4 linked regions of the Schizosaccharomyces pombe genome follow. The protein of the gene in region 1 interacts with the protein of each later gene in a pairwise test. Each region holds a gene or a part of one and is shown in the gene's direction. Other genes may lie near its edges. The genes, in order: cwf4, nrl1, cdc5 and prp43.

What was found.
Region 2: the proteins of cwf4 (region 1) and nrl1 interact in a two-hybrid assay, tested with the Schizosaccharomyces pombe proteins (2 studies listed by BioGRID).
Region 3: the proteins of cwf4 (region 1) and cdc5 interact in binary tests that used the Schizosaccharomyces pombe proteins (3 or more experiments, as listed by UniProt).
Region 4: the proteins of cwf4 (region 1) and prp43 interact in a two-hybrid assay, tested with the Schizosaccharomyces pombe proteins (one study listed by BioGRID).

What each region holds. Positions count from the first base shown.
Region 1 is NC_003423.3:3,770,285-3,774,834, reverse strand, and holds cwf4 (protein Cwf4), read left to right. Parts: upstream 1-1,685; 5' UTR 1,686-1,777; coding exon 1,778-3,802; 3' UTR 3,803-3,979; downstream 3,980-4,550. Other genes in the region: histone chaperone Hip1, read left to right, coding at 1-478; RNA-binding protein Tma20, read right to left, coding at 623-643, 719-776, 836-1,040, 1,157-1,254, 1,310-1,462, 1,517-1,527. UniProt on the Schizosaccharomyces pombe protein: Involved in pre-mRNA splicing and cell cycle progression. Required for the spliceosome assembly and initiation of the DNA replication.
Region 2 is NC_003423.3:3,289,175-3,294,606, forward strand, and holds nrl1 (NRDE-2 family protein), read left to right. Parts: upstream 1-1,711; 5' UTR 1,712-1,857; coding exon 1,858-3,698; intron 3,699-3,736; coding exon 3,737-4,647; intron 4,648-4,691; coding exon 4,692-4,858; 3' UTR 4,859-4,932; downstream 4,933-5,432. Other genes in the region: nse4 (non-structural maintenance of chromosome element 4), read right to left, coding at 292-384, 432-523, 569-788, 827-920, 964-1,222, 1,267-1,347, 1,391-1,454; mitotic spindle checkpoint protein Mad2, read left to right, coding at 5,101-5,170, 5,212-5,358, 5,405-5,432.
Region 3 is NC_003424.3:2,692,752-2,697,930, forward strand, and holds cdc5 (splicing factor Cdc5), read left to right. Parts: upstream 1-1,947; 5' UTR 1,948-2,006; coding exon 2,007-2,025; exon of another isoform or gene 2,026-2,065; coding exon 2,066-2,085; exon of another isoform or gene 2,086-2,142; intron 2,143-2,151; coding exon 2,152-2,166; exon of another isoform or gene 2,167-2,230; coding exon 2,231-2,350; exon of another isoform or gene 2,351-2,419; coding exon 2,420-2,868; exon of another isoform or gene 2,869-2,932; coding exon 2,933-4,583; 3' UTR 4,584-4,666; downstream 4,667-5,179. Other genes in the region: [pyruvate dehydrogenase (acetyl-transferring)] kinase Pkp1, read right to left, coding at 1-355, 435-601, 685-778; SPOM_SPAC644.13C (Rab GTPase-binding protein), read right to left, coding at 4,667-5,179. UniProt on the Schizosaccharomyces pombe protein: Involved in mRNA splicing and cell cycle control.
Region 4 is NC_003423.3:2,277,986-2,282,803, forward strand, and holds prp43 (ATP-dependent RNA helicase Prp43), read left to right. Parts: upstream 1-1,719; 5' UTR 1,720-1,777; coding exon 1,778-3,985; 3' UTR 3,986-4,254; downstream 4,255-4,818. Other genes in the region: protein arginine N-methyltransferase Skb1, read left to right, coding at 1-1,027, 1,074-1,262; alpha-1,2-mannosyltransferase Omh2, read left to right, coding at 4,581-4,818. UniProt on the Schizosaccharomyces pombe protein: Pre-mRNA processing factor involved in disassembly of spliceosomes after the release of mature mRNA.

The sequences.
Region 1 (4,550 bases):
GGCTATAGGAAGTCGGGAGTGGGATTCAAGTGGATTACTGCAAAGCAATACTCAAACCGAAAGTCAGCCGCTCAAAATATATGAACACCGAACTAATAATGTTTTAATGGATTCTGGAAGAGGAAAACTATTACAAAAAATGGTAGCTGATGCAATCACTGAAGAAGGTTATGATGATTTTGAGACCATAGTTACTATTAATCATTTAGAAAACAAAATCGCTTCTGCTCGATTACTTAAGTTGGATGATGAGTTTTTAGTAACAAGCGAAGTTTATGTCAGACTATTAATGCATCATGGTCTTTGGCAAAAATTGGAGGAATTTTTAGGAGAGCTACGAACTCAAACAAAATGTTCAATTAAATTATCAGGAAGAGAAGTTGTTGCAAAAATGTTAGTGGTTTTACGACAAGCAGTACAAACTGATAATGAATTTGATCGTGCAAACAAATTAATAGAAAAATACGCATCAACCTGAAAAAAATTGAGGCTATTTTAAATTTGACTTTTCTTTCTTGCATTCTGTTTAAGTCTAATACAATACTCATTGGAAAAATCTGAATAGTTTTGAAAGCAAAATAATGCATTAATTTTATTCTTTTAATGTCTTATACTATAGATGTTATTCTAAAATAGTCTTCCACTGTGAATATTAGTTAACATTACATTCCAATAAGCAAGAGGAAATTATAAATGGTTTAAAATGTAAATCACATACCAAGTTGTCGCCAAGATAATGCACATTTTCTATGCCGATTCCTTTATTAGTCTCTTTCCTAAACAATTCAAGCATGTTAGTTAATAGTTCAAGTTATGAGTGTCAATAGTATATTACATTTCTTTAGCAGACATTTTTGTAAGCCCAATTGCAGCAGGGGCTTCCTTTCCCTCAGCTGTAACAATCACATATTGATCTTTTTCGATGTCATCAGGCAAATTGCCGCCTTTGGAAACCAAGCCAGGAATCATAATATTGGCACCCGAGAGAAGGAATTTGATAGCTCCTCTGTCTACTCGAACTTGAGTAAAGGCATCCGGACCTAGGCGTATTAGTATATATTTGAACTAAACACAGATATGTTGTTGTCGATTCTGACCAGCTAGACAAAAACCAGAACTCCAATCAAACGTTGCGGTTACGTTAGCTTATACTCACATTTATGAACAAGACGAAGAGAAGGAATGATAGGGCCGTCGAAGTGCTGGAAAAGGATAATTTCGCCATTCAAAGTATACAAAAATAAACGATCCTCACTTAAACAATATCAGTACGACATACTAAAAATCACGGATGCTGATAAGAACGAACCATTTTATTTGAGTTAGTTGTGATTTTTTGGGAATTAACTCATCGATAACTTGTTTTAAGTTAGGATAAGCTTGTACTAGTTTTGCTTTTATTCCTCTTTGAATAGAAGACTTGATTGGAGTAGTTCCCTTTATATCTTCTCTAGAGTTAAATCTGTTGAGGTTAGCAATCATCCTACAAAATTATAAATCCAATTTAGAGCAATACCGTTTGAACATATTATTGAGTATATAGGAGCTGCAGACCATTGCTACAATAAGTTACTAGGTTGTAGCCGCGGTCTCCTCTCGGATGATCCGCGGTGTTGCCGATTACCACCTCGAGGGTTACAAACGTTAGATATATTCATTCATATTTGTGCACGTTTTTGTCTTCTAACAGTAAAAGCCAACTGGTTAAGAGAAGACATAAATCTAGCATATTATTTATTGAGTAATTGTACACTATAGAGATCCAGAATAATATAAGATGACTTCGGAAGCGCCCAGGGTAAAAAATAAGAACCCAGCACCCATCCAAATCTCAGCTGAACAATTGCTCCGAGAAGCTGTAGAACGACAAGATGTGGCGTTTGTTCCTCCAAAAATTAATATCACTGATCTTGAGGAGCTTCAAGAATTTCAAGGTCGAAAACGTAAAGAATTTGAAGATGCCATTCGACGGAATCGTCTCGCTATGGGCCATTGGATGCGATATGGTCAGTGGGAATTAGACCAAAAAGAATTTGCGAGAGCTCGCTCTGTTTTTGAAAGAGCTTTGGATGTAGATTCTACTTATATACCGTTATGGCTGAAATATATTGAATGCGAAATGAAGAATCGAAATATCAACCATGCCAGAAATTTATTTGATCGTGCTGTTACACAGCTTCCCCGTGTTGATAAACTATGGTACAAATACGTATATATGGAGGAAATGTTAGGAAATATCACCGGTTGTAGACAAGTATTTGAAAGATGGCTTAAGTGGGAGCCTGATGAAAACTGTTGGATGAGTTATATTCGAATGGAGAGGAGGTACCATGAAAACGAACGGGCTCGTGGCATATATGAACGATTTGTCGTTGTGCATCCTGAAGTAACGAATTGGCTTCGTTGGGCTCGTTTTGAAGAAGAATGCGGAAATGCTGCAAACGTTCGCCAAGTCTATTTGGCTGCTATAGATGCTCTTGGTCAGGAGTTTCTGAATGAACGGTTTTTTATTGCTTTTGCAAAATTCGAAATTCGTCAAAAGGAATATGAACGAGCTCGCACCATTTTCAAATATGCAATTGATTTTATGCCCCGATCAAAATCTATGGAACTATATAAGGAATACACTCATTTTGAAAAACAATTTGGAGATCATTTGGGCGTTGAGTCTACTGTGCTCGATAAGCGTCGATTACAATACGAAAAGCTATTGAAGGATTCTCCTTATGACTATGACACTTGGCTTGATTTGCTGAAGCTCGAAGAAAGTGCAGGGGATATTAATACTATTCGCGAAACCTACGAAAAAGCTATTGCTAAGGTTCCTGAAGTAGTTGAAAAGAACGCATGGAGACGTTACGTTTATATTTGGTTAAACTATTGCTTATTTGAAGAGATAGATGTGAAGGACGTTGACCGCGCAAGAAAGGTTTACCAAGAAGCTCTCAAGCTTATACCCCATAAAAAATTTACATTTGCCAAATTATGGCTCATGTATGCAATGTTTGAGCTTAGGCAACGTAAGATTGATGTTGCTAGAAAAACGTTGGGTCGTGCGTTGGGAATGTGTCCAAAACCAAAATTATTCCGAGGTTATATTGAATTCGAAGACGCAATTAAGCAGTTTGACAGGTGTCGAATTCTTTATGAAAAATGGATTCTTTATGATCCCGAGGCTTGTGCTCCCTGGCTTGGTTACGCTGCCTTAGAGACTAAGCTTGGAGATAGTGATCGTGCTCGCGCTTTATATAATTTGGCTGTAAACCAGCCTATTTTGGAAACCCCAGAGCTTGTGTGGAAGGCTTATATTGATTTTGAATTCGAGGAAATGGAATACGGAAAAGCTAGAAGTATTTACCAGCAGTTACTACGGACTGCACCTCATGTTAAAGTTTGGATTAGTTTTGCAAACTTTGAAATTGCCCATCTGGAGGACGATGACGAAGAACCACCGAATGAAGAAGTGGCTTCTCCAACCGCTGTTGTGCGTGCGCGAAATGTTTTTGAAAATGCATTGGCCCATTTACGCCAGCAGGGTTTGAAGGAAGAGCGAGTTGTATTACTTGAAGCATGGAAACAATTTGAGGCAATGCATGGCACGGAAGATACACGTAAGCATGTCTCTTCACTAATGCCACAGGTTGTTAAGAAACGCCGTAGACTTGAAGACGGTTCATTCGAAGAATATTTGGACTATCTGTTTCCGGATACGGCGACTGATCAAGGAGATAAGATGCGCAAAATGCTCGAACTTTCGCGAAAATGGAAAGAGGAAATGGCTAAAAAGAAGCTGGAGGCCTAGATTACATATGACATTTATTGGCGCTATCAGTTTAATATTTAGTAATCGTGTAAAATATTAGTAATTAATTGTTTACGAGGCAATGGGTCATGTAAATGGACGTTGTTACGAAGTTGAGGATATTCAGCGCTTTGGACTGTTCGGATAATAATAAAATAACTGTTTTTGCATTTGAAAGGCCGGAATGGCGCGTAGAAATAAGACAAGCAATCCATATTAGTATTATTAACCTTGAGTTTCGATCTGAGTTTACTTACTAAGCAAGATAAGCGAAAAATTTATGGATATTATGTTGAGGGAATCACACTTGTAGAAATGAGAAAGTTGTAAACATGACAATTTTGAAGAATCCAACGCAATTCGTAAATAACACATTAAAATACAATAAAATGAAAAATCCAATCCAAAATATATTTAATATGTACATATTTATATTTATAAATTGATTGTTCTTTACCTTGCCCCATTGACATACGATCGAGTATCTACCAGTGCGACTAATTTTAGTTTTGTTACTCAAAGTGGCAGGACTCACAGGTAAAGAAGCGGCTGGTTTGGAGTTGTGCTGATCTGATGAACTTGTCAATCAAATGAGATTACAAAATCTGACATTGGTTATTTTCAGCACTGACAGCTTATTCGGACCGGTTTACCCAAATGTTCTGCTAAAGTGAATTTACAGAATACAAAAATCGGCTTATGCGACCAACGTATTAGGCAACATTTTGACTTAAAAGAAAAAATTCAT
Region 2 (5,432 bases), 480 kb from region 1:
TTCCCCAACGTTCTGCCTTTATTTATTTATTTGGTTATCATGTGGATTCATAACCTAAAAGTTTTGATGCAAAAAATATTCTTGCTGCTTCTAAAATTATTTATTATTTATTTATTGAATCAGATCTCTTCTTGTTAAAAAAGAAAGGAATTGACTTGATTGTATAAAAGGTTTGGGTTATGGAAAGCTCTTATTTTTATCATCTATTAATATATTGTTTTTATCTTAATTACGAAGCGTTATGTCAAATATGGGTAATTAAACTTGAAATTAAAGATTGTTGTATTAGTATCAGCCATACCAAGTATTACTGTTAGTAGATGTTTCAACGGGTGCTCGAGTAGGAATAATGCTTTCTTTGATATTGTATTCTTTAATTATGTTCTGTCATTCGAGAGGTTAGAAAAATTTTTAAACATGAATACACCCACCTCGTACAAATCCATTGTCATATCCAGTACCAATTGAATGTTTCTTATTTCGCCTGCCACGACTTGATCGTCCGTTGGAGGAATGCGTGTTTCTTACAAGTTAATAATAGTTCAAATTCTAAATATAATTGATTTACCAAGCATGAGAATCCCGCTTTCGTTTTCTACGAGGGCAGCTTTGCCTTCTTTGAATAAAAAGCTGACATAAAACAAGTTCTCCACTGTTTGAGGATAACTTTGAGGATTGGTGATGAATTTCAAAAAATTAACAGGCTGGTGTGCTTGAAGTAAACGAGATATGTGCAAGACATTTTTAGTGGTGTTATTTTCTTGGGTAGTAATGTTACGTTCATTCAGCTTCTTGAGTTAGAAAATATAAAAAAAATAAAAATTACCATAGTAGGTTGAGTTAGCACATTCGGGGCTTTTTGTAGTCTTTCTCGCCGCTGGATGTTTCTTTCTTTCTTGCGAAATGATAAAGGACCGACCCTAAAGAGGTTAGATACGCTATTGGAGAAACTATTTTACATACATCAAGTTCAGAGAAGCGGGCTGTTTTTCGCAATTACTTGCCAATTTCCCTAGTCTTGACCATGCTGTGTCAATTTCTTGGATTCGAGTAACATTCGAGTGGGAAGTAGGATAGTTGAGGAATTGCTTAATATTTTTTGTGAATAGTTCAATATTAAACTTGGGCCTTCCAATATGAAGCTGCCTAGCTTTAATGGAAGCCAGATCAACCGTTTTAGTAAGCAGTAAAGCATCTAAGGTTGCTTCAGTAGGAGCATCAACTATTAATTATGTTAACAACTGACAAAGATACACTGATATTCACCTGAAGAAAATAAATCATTAGCAGTAGTAATAGTTTCATATAAGTTATTGTTTTCCTCATCAACCAGTTCCAAACGACTTTCTGCTAAAATGTTAGTAAATTATAAAGTAAAGCTGTACATGACCTTGAACTTTGTTTATTAAGTTCCTATATCGTTTTCTAAGATCCCGTTTATCAATGGAGGACATATCGTGGGTTTTTTGTGATAGTTTTTATTCAAATATAAGCTAGATGACGAAATTAGATTTTGAAGTACAAAATTTGCCCAGTTTCCTCATGAAGGATTTGATCGCGAGCAAATCTTTCAACCTTTAAGCACAACTCTCCAAGATTGGCTTTTAGATTAATAATTTTTAAAATTAAAAAAGTAAAACGTTGAAGAAGAATGTTGCCATTAAGTGTTAGCTTAATCGTTAGTTGATGCTAATAACCAAGTGTTGCTGCTAACGCCAGCAAATATTTTGTCAACGAGCATATGCAAATTATACTGGTATATACGGCAGAAACTATTTAGTATATTTGGATCATTTCAAAGAATATTAGTTATGGGAGCCTTTGTACTTTTTTTCTATTAATTCATAAACACCTATAATGCCGTCTAATCATAACACGTCTGTTCCAAAATTTTCGAGTTTTAACTCAGTCAAGGCAAAAAAAAATCCAATTACAAAGAGCAATAAAAAATATCGATCATCTCATGATCAAGTTTCCTCAAATCATGCGAAATCGAGTTTCCCTTCGCATCGATCAATTCAAAGTAATTTCGCTGTAGACACGAAAGGAGAAAAGCAAAATTTACTTTACGGGATTAATAAGAGGCCCGTTCCTAAATATCATAGATCTTCAAGTTCCGTATATGGATCTGCTCCTCTGCTACGAATAGTCAAAGAGTCAAAGGAGGGCATAACCCTGAATAAGAAAAAATCGTTGGAAATCAAATATGATGAAGAAAGAAGCTTTGATGAAAAAGAAAACGATGAAAGTGAATTTGAAGATGGGCAGCAGGGATTTATTCCATTGTTGGTTAATAGAAACTCGGATCCATCCGAGAAGTCAACGTTTTCTTTAAATATTCTGAAGGCTATTAAGGAAACAGATGAAGAAATAAAAAAAAACCCAGGAAAAGCAAGGTTATGGATAAAAATGTGTGAGTATCAAGAAAGACTTTTGTTTGATGAATTTCGACGGAGCAATTCCGACGACATTAAAGGTAAACTGAAGATTGAAAACAATAGTAGAAGCGTAAAACTATCAATTCTGGAAAAGGCACTTAAAGAAGTTAAAGGATGTGATCATGAAATATTGGTTTCATATTATCTCCAATTGGGCTCAGAAGAATGGAGTAAAGAAGAAACTAATCAGAAATTCGAAGAAGTATTGATTGAGCATCCAGGTTATCTTAATTTGTGGATGAAATATGCCGAATATTTTACTGGAATATCAGAATTTACTTTCAATGATTGTCTAAACATGTTTTCTAAGTGCTTCAAATTTTTAAAGCAAAAATTATCCGATAGAAAATCGTGTAAGGAAAGAGAATCGACAGACGTAACTTCCAATTTTGAAGTAGAGGAGGCCATATTACATTTGCTTATCCGACTATGCGATTTTCTGAAGAATTGCGGATACTATGAGCTTGCTTGGTCCATTTTTCAAGCTAACATGGAGTTATGTTATTTTTATCCGCGGTATTTGGAAAAAAAACTTGACAGTACTTTTTTTGAAAGCTTTTCTAAATTTTGGAATTCAGATACTCCGAAGTTTTCTGAAGAAAATGCTAGGGGATGGTGTAACGTCCTTGATGATGAGTCCAGCCAGCAAAATCAAAATTTCAGTTCAGAAATTGGAATATTTCAAACAGTTAAGTTATGGTATCTTAACGAAAGCAAATTTGATACTAATCCTCCTCCACGTAGTACCATGAGTTGTCGAAAACTTTCAGGAATAGATGATCCATTTAGGTATATTGTCTTCAATGACATACAAGACTTTATAGTTTGTTTTGAAAGCGAAACGATTGCTTTCGCATTCAAGTATAAATTTTTTGCATTTTGCGGAGTACCTCTTTTTCCACCGGGGATTTCAACAAACTCATGGTTTGCTTCTTATGACAAAGGAATTTACAACTTGCTTTTTGGCATGGCTTCCAGTGAATCCTTTATAAATGGACAGATAGCTGAGAAAAACAGCTTTCAATTTCCCTGTAGTATACTACCTTCATACATTGATCTCTTCATTTCTCTTATGTCGTTTAAAAATTTAAATTTCAAGTTATTTGATTACAACCTTGCACATCATGTGAAGGAATCAATGGAGCGTGCTTTTCATCAACTAGTATTTTCGGCGGACGATGAGTATTTAGCGAGCGTTTATTTAATTTATTTAAAGCAAATGGAGACGAAGAACCTAAGTGAGGAGAAACCCCAAGTGAAGTAAGTAGATGTTTTTGTTTCCTTCTAACCAAATTCAGTAAAATTGTAAAGAAGATTCTCAAAAAATACGATAGTTCAGTGTCTGTTTGGAACACTTACGCTCAATTGGAACACTTAAGTGGTGCTTTTACTATGGCTGAAACAATTTTTAAAACAATTTTTCAGATCCATGCTTCCCAATTGCGCTACATTGATAATTTAAATGTATACAAAAACTGGGCTTTTAGAAAGCTACTTATTAATGATACTGAAGGATGCTTAGTTATTATAAAATGCCTGTTGTTTCCTGGTGATAAATCTTTAACTAGCGATAATAATCGAGCATCCGAAATGCTATTTGGTATGTTGGAAAATTGCGCCAGCAAGGAAGAATTGCTGTATGTTTGTCTTATCTATACTATATGGACACACTGTACTGATATGGATTCAATGGATAATTGTGTGTATTTATGCATTCAAAAATTCGAAAGCTATGGATGGGGGGCTTCTTCAGAAATGGAATGCTATTTTTCTTATTGTTCATTGATTTTTTATTATCAAGCTACCACTCTTCAATTCTATAATCTACCCAAGGTTCGACCTTTTTTTGAAAAGGGAGTTACACTTTTCAGTGCAAATACGGCTATATGGGAAGTTTATATATTTTTTGAATCTAAGTTGAGACAAGAGAACAAACCAAAAATTAGGGCTATGAAAATTTTAAAATCTGCTTCAAATGCTGTTGTTACAGCTTGTTGGTACCTTTTTTATGTTGCCGTTCAACAGATTGAGCCAACAAACTCACAGTACTTTTTAAGGACTTTGGATATCACTCTAAATAATGAAAAGTTGAAATCCGTCGCCAAGTTTTGGAGAATATATTTAAAGATTCTCAATTTGCGATTAAATGGTACTGAATGGGTTTCGGCGATTACCACCAAAGCATTGGCTTCCTGCCCCTGTAATAAAGGTAAGTTAATTAAAAACATAGAACATTTCACTGACTAAGTTTAGGGGTTTGTATGGACGTTATAGACTTGCTCTTGAAAAAAGAGATGGAGAGTCGGGCTATTATTTGCTATATAATCATGTTGGAAAAAGGCTTTAGAGTCCATAACGAAATAAGGAGAGATGTTTTAAAGTTTGAAAGAGGAGATGAACTTATTTTGTCCCCAAACTGACATTATTACGATCAATGACTTTTAATGATAGAGATAGTGAAATGAGTTTAAAATGACAGATTAGTTACTTTCAAGTTTGCGTAAATGCTTTAGTAGTCTTATTATTAAAGTTTTCACTTTTGTTTGTTAAATGCTTATATGGTTGCTTTTACGTTGAAAGGGTACCTCTAAGCAACCATCATGGCAGTACCTACTCAATTACTACACAACCTATTGCTTATTACAAAAATCTACAACACAACATGTCTAGCGTTCCCATAAGAACGAATTTTTCACTGAAAGGTTCTTCCAAACTTGTTAGCGAATTTTTTGGTTTGTAAATGTTTCAAATATGCCATGCTAACTTAATGAAGAATATGCGGTGAACTCAATCCTTTTTCAACGAGGAATTTACCCAGCAGAAGACTTCAAAGTTGTTCGGAAATATGGATTAAATATGCTTGTCAGTGTAGATGAAGAGGTCAAGACTTACATTCGAAAAATTGTATCTCAGTTACACAGTGAGTTGTTGTTCTATTATCACTTTTGGAATTAACAAATTTTTAGAATGGATGTTTGCAAAAAAAATTCAAAA
Region 3 (5,179 bases), on another chromosome or scaffold:
ATATTTGAATACTGTTGTCAATTTGGTTAGTCTTCCTTCGGTATTCTTGTATGTCCAAAGCAATTTCGACTGCAACGTTATCGTGTCTAGTTCGAATGGTATTTAAAAGGTATGCAAAATTACTATTAAATTTTAACAAAGATTCGGGCCAATTACAATCAACGCCATTATCTTGGTCAGAAAAATCTGTTTCAAAATAGCGACCTTTTGAAGAGTCTAAATGAGTATTTGCAAGCGAGGGATTATGAAGAATTTCAGAGTCCATTAAACTTGACCTCCATTTCGGGGCATTGTGATATCGAGCGTGCTTTGGAAGACATTTCGGTAGTTCCACTCCTTTCAGTTCAATAATTTCCTTCAACCAGTTAGCTTTGTTTGATTTCTGGTTATGTTTCGACAAGTATCGAACATGCAAATATACACATTTGACCTACCTCCATAGATCTACCGTAAGCAGCCTTTACGGAAGATATACGCTTCATACTTCGTAGCATCGGTGAAAGATTCTGCAGGTCTTGGATGCGCCGAGCCAAGCGAATGGGCAATTCATCTCGCAAAAACAAGCCAGCCCGGAAAAGTGTTCCTGGTGTAGGGTTCTTGCCTTCATAATAAAAATTAAGCAGTCAGTATAAAATTTCTAGTATGAAGTAATCTAAGAAAAATTAACTGAGCAAAAATTCTTACCAAAATACACTAATTGCTTTAAAGACAACCCTGTTTGAGGATATTGAGCCAAGAGATTGACTTTCTCCTGTAAAGTTTTCCCGAGCACTGACATTTCTTTTAAACCTTAAGTTTTTCTTTAAATTCGATAATGATAAATAGAACAATTGTTCAATCGTAAACTTTGTTGGTTTGTCTAACAAATAGATGATAACCCATGGACGAGCATAAAAAAAGCGGCAATTTGCAAAATATAACCTAAAGAAAGTAAAAGATGAGCTTCAGAAACAAACAAATAAAGCAGTTTCTTAATGTTTTCACACAGAATCTAAGAAAGCTTTTGCTAAACTAATGCATTCATATGTTTGCAAAGTACCCATAAAAATAATGAACTTGAGTGTATTCCATTAAAATTGAAATGCGTGATACATTATACTTCTTTTGCATTGCTTATTTTATTTTTCACAATACTGCTAGCTACACAGTTTGTTATCTAATTTAAGGATACGTAGAACTGCGGTGAGTTTTCCTTGTGGTCTATTATATTACAATACACAGGTCGTATGAGTAGCAACTGAGTATAGGTATTGTATTAACTAGGTTATAAAATGTTACCTATCACTAATATAGCTTATAACTGAACCTCGTTCCTCAGTTCAGTTAAAACTCTATTTATAATATTTCTAAATAGTTGCTATCAACGGGTATCTATGTATATAGACGGATAGTTACCCGTGATGATCAATAGACGGATCTTAATTAGTATTCCAACATATGACATATAGTGATATGTAACGTAGTGTAGTATTGCTGACAAATACGCGGTCATTAGGTTACTTAACGATACACATAATACTGCAATGCTTGTAGTTACTTGTTGATATACCAACCATAAATAAGAGGAAGAGTATGGTAGATCCACCTTCAAGATAAACATATTTGATCATTGCTATATCCTGCTTGTCAAATATTTTCTTAATACTCAACGGTTAGGAATATTCAAAAAAATTTAATGTTGTCCAACGATTTTGCGCTATTATATTTTTGCGATAAAGAAACATGTGCTACATTGAAATAATTTAAGGTAAATATGTGATACGTAGCAAACTGGAAAAAACAATAAAATGAATATTTGGTTTGACTATTAGTGTGTTTAAGAAACTGTTCTTTTAAAAGTTAAAACTACTTTAAATATAAAATATAATTTTGGTCACTTTCTGCTGCACTCGACATTTACCTCAATTTCCCATCCACCCTGTTTCGTCGCAAGTTGTTACAGTTACTACAAACCTCCATTACCACGCTTTCTGACAATTGTCAGGGTTTTGGCGAATATTTAGAAAATGGTTGTTTTAAAAGGAGGTTTGTAACTTTTTTTATTGTATTTTCTAACATAATTTAGGTGCCTGGAAAAATACAGAGGTAAAGACTATGATTTTAACCTTCTACCACGCGCAATGTTTTTGTTACTAACTTATTGGTAAACAGGATGAAATCTTAAAGGTATTTTTTTATTTATTAGTTACATATTTCCTTTAATATTTAGAATACTAACGCAAATTCCTAGGCTGCTGTCAGTAAATACGGTAAAAACCAATGGGCCCGCATAAGTTCATTGCTGGTTCGCAAAACTCCTAAACAATGTAAAGCTCGTTGGTATGAATGGATCGATCCAAGCATTAAAAAGGTATGTTAAACATGTAATCACTATTTGTTATTTGACAAGACCTATTGTTAACATTTCCTTCACATTTAGACTGAATGGAGTCGTGAAGAGGACGAAAAATTATTACACTTAGCTAAGTTACTTCCTACACAGTGGCGGACGATTGCTCCAATTGTAGGTCGGACGGCCACTCAATGTTTAGAACGCTATCAAAAACTTCTTGATGATTTGGAAGCGAAAGAGAACGAGCAGTTGGGATTGATCAGTGGAGAAGGTGCAGAAGCAGCTGCGCCTGTTAACGATCCAAATTCCCGGCTTCGTTTTGGCGAAGCAGAGCCCAATTTAGAAACCCTACCTGCACTCCCTGATGCCATTGACATGGATGAAGACGAAAAAGAGATGTTGAGTGAAGCACGTGCACGTTTAGCAAACACACAAGGAAAGAAAGCCAAACGAAAGGATAGAGAAAAGCAGCTTGAATTAACTAGAAGATTGTCACATCTCCAAAAGCGAAGAGAATTGAAGGCAGCTGGAATCAAGTATGTGTTATTATTATTACTTTATTGTATTGTTTTTCCTTCATTATGTTAATCTATAACTTAGTATAAAGCTCTTCCGTCGAAAGAAGAATGAAATGGATTATAACGCTTCTATTCCATTTGAAAAAAAGCCAGCGATTGGTTTTTATGATACCTCAGAAGAGGACAGGCAAAATTTTCGGGAAAAGCGAGAAGCGGACCAGAAGATAATTGAAAATGGAATACGGAATAATGAAATGGAATCCGAAGGTCGAAAATTTGGTCATTTTGAAAAGCCAAAACCTATTGATAGAGTAAAAAAGCCCAACAAAGATGCCCAAGAAGAAAAAATGCGACGTCTTGCCGAGGCTGAGCAGATGAGCAAGAGGCGGAAGTTGAATTTACCTAGTCCTACTGTGTCTCAAGATGAACTGGATAAAGTAGTGAAACTAGGCTTTGCAGGCGATCGTGCTCGCGCTATGACTGATACGACTCCAGATGCTAATTACAGTACTAATTTGTTAGGAAAGTATACACAAATTGAACGAGCTACTCCATTGAGAACACCAATTAGTGGTGAACTTGAGGGAAGAGAGGATTCAGTTACAATTGAAGTTAGAAATCAATTGATGAGGAACCGCGAACAATCTTCTCTCTTGGGTCAGGAAAGTATACCTTTACAACCTGGTGGTACTGGTTACACAGGAGTTACTCCCAGTCATGCAGCTAATGGCTCAGCTTTGGCAGCACCTCAAGCAACTCCTTTTAGAACACCACGTGACACATTTTCTATTAATGCAGCTGCGGAGCGAGCAGGACGATTAGCAAGTGAAAGAGAAAATAAAATTCGATTGAAGGCTTTGCGAGAATTGCTTGCAAAACTACCTAAACCTAAAAACGACTATGAACTAATGGAGCCTCGATTTGCGGACGAAACTGATGTTGAAGCTACTGTTGGAGTGCTTGAAGAAGACGCAACAGACCGAGAACGTCGTATCCAAGAACGTATTGCAGAAAAAGAAAGGTTGGCAAAAGCGAGGAGGTCACAGGTTATTCAAAGAGATTTGATTCGACCATCTGTAACACAACCAGAAAAATGGAAGCGTTCACTTGAAAATGAAGATCCGACTGCAAATGTTTTATTGAAAGAAATGATTGCTTTGATTTCATCGGACGCCATTAATTATCCGTTTGGAAATTCAAAAGTGAAAGGAACGGCTAACAAAGTGCCTGATTTGTCAAATGAAGAAATTGAGAGGTGTAGATTGTTACTAAAGAAAGAGATAGGGCAACTAGAAAGTGACGATTATATCCAATTCGAGAAGGAATTTTTGGAAACGTACAGTGCACTTCACAACACCTCAAGTTTGTTGCCAGGCTTGGTAATCTACGAGGAAGACGATGAAGACGTTGAAGCCGCTGAAAAGTTTTATACGAACGACATTCAACGAGATTTAGCTAAGAAAGCATTGGAATGTAACAAGTTGGAAAATCGGGTTTATGATTTGGTTAGATCTTCATATGAGCAACGTAATTTTTTGATAAAGAAAATCTCGCATGCTTGGAAGGCTTTGCAAACAGAAAGGAAAAATTTAACGTGCTACGAATTTCTATACAATCAGGAGCGATTAGCTCTACCTAATAGGCTTGAAGCAGCTGAAATAGAGCTAAGCAAAATGCAACAAATCGAGGCGTATGCTCAACAAGATTATGCTAGGGTTACTGGACAAAATTAAACTTCACTTCACTTTGTTTTAAATAATTGTCATAGCTTATCATTCATAGTGTATATTATCATGCCTGAAATAAAACGAAAGTTTTATAAAAAGATAATCCAAGCTAGAGAAAAGTAGAAAAGGAATAAAGGGTATACTGCCAACAATTTTTTGTTGGATAGATTAGAATTTTGTAAAACACCCATAGCAGCGAACAATGTCCAGGCATACATTGCAACAATCACAGGTATGCGTATAAATATTAAGGGAACGAATGCACAAACTATAGAAGCAATCATTAAAGGGAAAGAGGAGTACCCCAATATACACATAGATTGAAAAATGCTAATGTTGGCCCCTAGTAATTTTATATTTAAAGAACAAACCGCTTCCCCAAACCATATGAGCGCGACAACGACTGTAAAAACAGATTCTCGTTCAATCTTGTCAGTAGACAAGGCAAGTGCTAAAGCAATTACGAGGGAAAAAATCAAAGGACCCCACAAGTCCCAGTCGCGTAGTACTTGAGCATTTTTGGGATACAAAACATAGACGAGTTTTTCACCAATAGCTCTAAATTCATTAAATAATGTAACACGAATGGGTTCGTCCAGAGA
Region 4 (4,818 bases), 1.5 Mb from region 1:
GAGGGCTATTTATGCTTTATATCTACGTCTCAATCCTCGAATTTTACTTTGGGATAATGACGCACCCGAGAAAATAGGTGATTCCCCCGACTACAGCATATATATGAAGCACCTCTTTGATTCACAGCCTCCAGCTCCACTTGTAGAAGATCTCGCGGATTCTTATAAAGACTATCTGCAAGTTCCTCTTCAACCATTGAGCTACAATTTGGAAAACATTACTTATGAAATATTTGAGCGAGATCCCGTTAAGTACGCCCAGTATGAGCAAGCAATTTTTTCTGCGTTGATGGATAGAGACGAATCTTCTGTCACGCGAATTGCCGTTGTGGGTGCGGGAAGAGGTCCATTAGTCGACTGTGCTTTACGTGCGGCAATTTCTTCATCTAGAACGGTTGATATGATCGCCCTTGAGAAAAATCCTAACGCTTTTTCCATGCTATTGATGAGAAACCGCCAGGATTGGGCTGGCAAAGTTACTCTAGTATTTGGAGATATGAGAACATGGAATCCTGATTATAAAATTGACATCCTTGTTAGTGAACTTTTGGGTAGTATGGGAGACAATGAACTTAGTCCGGAGTGTCTAGATGGTGTACAACATGTGCTTGATGAAGAAACTGGGATATGCATTCCATCTTCTTACATCTCCTATGTTACTCCTATTATGTCTCCTAAGCTATGGTCTGAAGCTCGTAATATGAATGACCCAAATGCTTTTGAAAGACAGTACGTGGTTTTAATGAACTCATTTGACTTTTTGGCTGCAGATGATGAGTTCCGTTTTCAGTCCCTTTGGTCCTTCCATCACCCAAACAAAGATAGTGAGGTTTATACTAAAAACTTGCATAACAAACGTTTTGCTAGTGTTCGTTTTCAGGCCTCTAGTCCTGGAATCCTTCACGGTTTTGCAGGATATTTTGAAGCTACATTATATAAGGATATTTCTCTTTCAATTATGCCAGCAACTATGGAAGCGAAGTCTCCTGACATGTTTTCATGGTTCCCTATTTATATGCCCATTAAGGTAAGTTACTATATTTTACGTTGCACTGTATACTAATATTTCCTAGAAACCCATGTACGTCCCAGAAAACAGCCAATTGGAATTTCACATGTGGCGATTGACGGACGGTATGCGGGTTTGGTTTGAGTGGTGTGCCAATGCCTATCTGGTGTTGCGGAATGGAAGTCAAATCAAGTTGTCTTCTACGGAGGTCCACAACATTTCCGGAAAAGCGTTCTCGTGTAATATGTATTAAAAATTAATAGTCCTTCTTTTACATTATTGTTTATGGTTTAAAACGGGTCTTCAAACCATTTTTTTGGAGTTTTGATTATAAAAATTTTTTGGATTTAGTTAAATCTGAATTTAACAAAAGTCGATTAGTTTTAGGATAGCTGTTACAATCAAGATTTTGCTGAGAAAGAAGGAGTAATGCTCCTATACTTATTGTCTTAAACGATTTGCCAGAATTTTAACTATTGTTCTTAAACATTCCTTTTTACACAATTAATTAACAGGCAAATTCATTCAACTGAAATACCCTGTCATTTGCTTACTATACTAGTTAATTAATTTTCATTAATGTATTATATTAGTCCGAACTTGAAAATTAACAACGCATTGCGTTATGCCACTCAATTTTATATAACGAATGTTAAGATAGATGGTTTGTTGGAAAATTCTTTAACTGCTTGTAGTACGGAGTATGCACTGTGTTCTTCGCCATTTACAGAATTGTGGGAAGGGTTTATATAAGGGCGATTTTCGACTATGGAACCAGCTCAGAAGAAACTAAGGCAAGAGTCAAAGAACCCGTATTTGGCACACTTAAACAATGGTGATGATTCTGAGGAAGTTGTTTCTTCGAAAGGGTTGACGCGACGTGCTACGACTGTTGCACAAGCAGCTAAGGCTGAAGAAGGACCAAACAATTTTTTTAATGATAAACCTTTTAGTCAAAATTATTTTAAGATTTTGGAAACTCGAAGAGAGCTTCCTGTATACCAGCAAAGAGAAGAATTTCTCAAAATTTATCACGAGAATCAAATTATTGTTTTCGTTGGTGAAACTGGTTCTGGTAAAACAACACAAATTCCTCAGTTTGTTCTTTATGATGAATTGCCTCATTTAACAAATACACAAATTGCATGTACTCAACCACGTCGTGTTGCAGCTATGTCCGTTGCAAAACGTGTCGCTGACGAAATGGACGTTGACTTGGGCGAGGAAGTTGGTTACAACATTCGTTTTGAAGACTGTAGTGGACCTAACACTCTGTTAAAATATATGACAGATGGTATGCTTTTGCGTGAAGCCATGACAGACCATATGCTCTCTCGTTATTCTTGTATTATTCTTGATGAAGCACATGAGCGTACCTTGGCAACTGATATTTTGATGGGTCTAATGAAGCGTTTGGCTACACGTAGACCCGACCTTAAGATTATTGTCATGTCTGCAACTTTGGATGCTAAAAAGTTTCAAAAATACTTTTTTGATGCTCCCCTTTTAGCTGTTCCAGGTAGAACTTACCCTGTTGAAATTTATTATACCCAAGAACCTGAGCGCGATTATTTAGAAGCCGCGCTTCGTACAGTGCTTCAAATTCATGTTGAAGAGGGCCCCGGTGATATCTTAGTGTTCCTTACAGGTGAAGAAGAGATTGAAGATGCTTGCCGTAAGATTACTTTGGAAGCTGATGATCTTGTACGTGAAGGAGCCGCTGGTCCATTGAAGGTGTATCCACTTTATGGTTCTTTACCGCCAAATCAACAGCAACGTATATTCGAACCAACTCCGGAAGATACAAAATCGGGTTACGGCCGTAAAGTAGTTATATCTACAAACATCGCAGAAACATCCTTAACTATCGATGGTATCGTTTATGTGGTGGATCCTGGTTTTAGTAAACAAAAAATTTATAATCCCCGAATCCGAGTTGAGTCTTTGCTTGTAAGTCCTATTAGCAAAGCCAGTGCACAACAGCGTGCTGGTCGTGCTGGACGTACTCGACCTGGTAAATGTTTCCGCCTTTACACAGAGGAAGCTTTTCGCAAAGAATTGATTGAGCAAACGTATCCTGAGATTTTACGCAGCAATCTCTCGAGTACTGTCTTAGAATTGAAGAAACTAGGTATTGATGACCTCGTTCATTTTGATTATATGGATCCACCCGCTCCGGAGACTATGATGCGTGCTTTAGAAGAGCTGAACTATTTGAACTGTCTGGACGATAATGGCGACTTGACTCCTTTAGGTCGTAAAGCGTCTGAATTCCCACTTGATCCAAATTTGGCTGTAATGCTTATCAGAAGTCCAGAGTTTTATTGCTCAAACGAAGTTTTATCTTTAACAGCTCTTTTATCTGTTCCTAATGTTTTCGTCAGACCTAACTCTGCAAGGAAATTAGCGGATGAGATGCGACAACAATTTACTCATCCTGATGGTGATCACTTGACCTTATTGAACGTTTATCATGCTTATAAATCAGGTGAAGGGACTGCTGACTGGTGTTGGAATCATTTCTTGTCGCATAGAGCGCTAATCAGTGCTGACAATGTAAGAAAACAATTGCGGAGGACAATGGAACGTCAAGAGGTTGAACTCATATCTACCCCTTTTGATGACAAAAACTACTATGTAAATATCCGCCGTGCTCTTGTTAGTGGATTTTTCATGCAAGTTGCCAAAAAGTCTGCAAATGGTAAAAACTATGTGACTATGAAAGATAATCAAGTGGTTTCACTGCATCCTTCATGTGGTTTGTCAGTGACTCCAGAGTGGGTGGTTTATAATGAATTTGTACTTACTACCAAAAGTTTTATTCGAAATGTCACAGCTATTCGTCCTGAATGGTTAATAGAACTAGCTCCCAATTACTATGATTTGGATGATTTCGACAATAATAAAGAAGTCAAATCAGCACTCCAAAAAGTATATCAAATGGCTGCTAGATCAAAAAAGAACGCTCGACGTTAAAATCTAATTTACTGCTCGGTGAATTACAAATATTTAGAAGAAGTGGATAGCGTCTACTTTTAATGGTGTTTTGGATAATTATTTTGTTGACTTGGGATATTTATACATATTTTTTAATTCGATCCTTTATATTTTGATCTCTACATTTATTTAGACTTGGTAATATCAGTGTATATTACTGCATGGGGCTAAACCAGAACTAAAATTAATAAAATATTTCTACAGTTGAAACTACTTTTCATATGCAATGAATAATGTGTATTGGTAACCGCGGTAATTTTAAGTTAGCAGTTTTATTTATAATCTAAAGGCTTTTCCTCCGAAATAATTATTAACATGTTTTTTAAAAAACTTTTTAAAAAGTCGTGCAGCTTTATGCCAAAAATATGAGTGTATTAGTTTTTCTGACCTACGGTATAGGCCTCTCCTGACACCTATAATGTGATTACTGACTTCACTAGAGCAAAGTGAATAACCGAAGGTAAAATAATTGATATTCATTTTGTCTTGCAGTTATAATGGAAGCTAAATACTAGCATTGAAAAACTAAAATTTTTGTAGATTATTTGGGTTAGTCGGTATTTATCAAAAAAAAATGCGGATATCAAGATTGCTGATTAGAGTACTTTTGGGATTCGTGATACTTTTCATTACATACATCCTCTTTCCTTCAATACCAAAAGCATTGGTGAATACTTTAAATGTGTATAAACTAGAGGAGCGTTTAAACTATTACAATGATCGTTTATTAGATGGAAATTTGAAATCGAAGGAATTGGAGAATGCTACGTTCGTAACTTTAGCACGGAATGCGGACCTTTACGATTTAATTG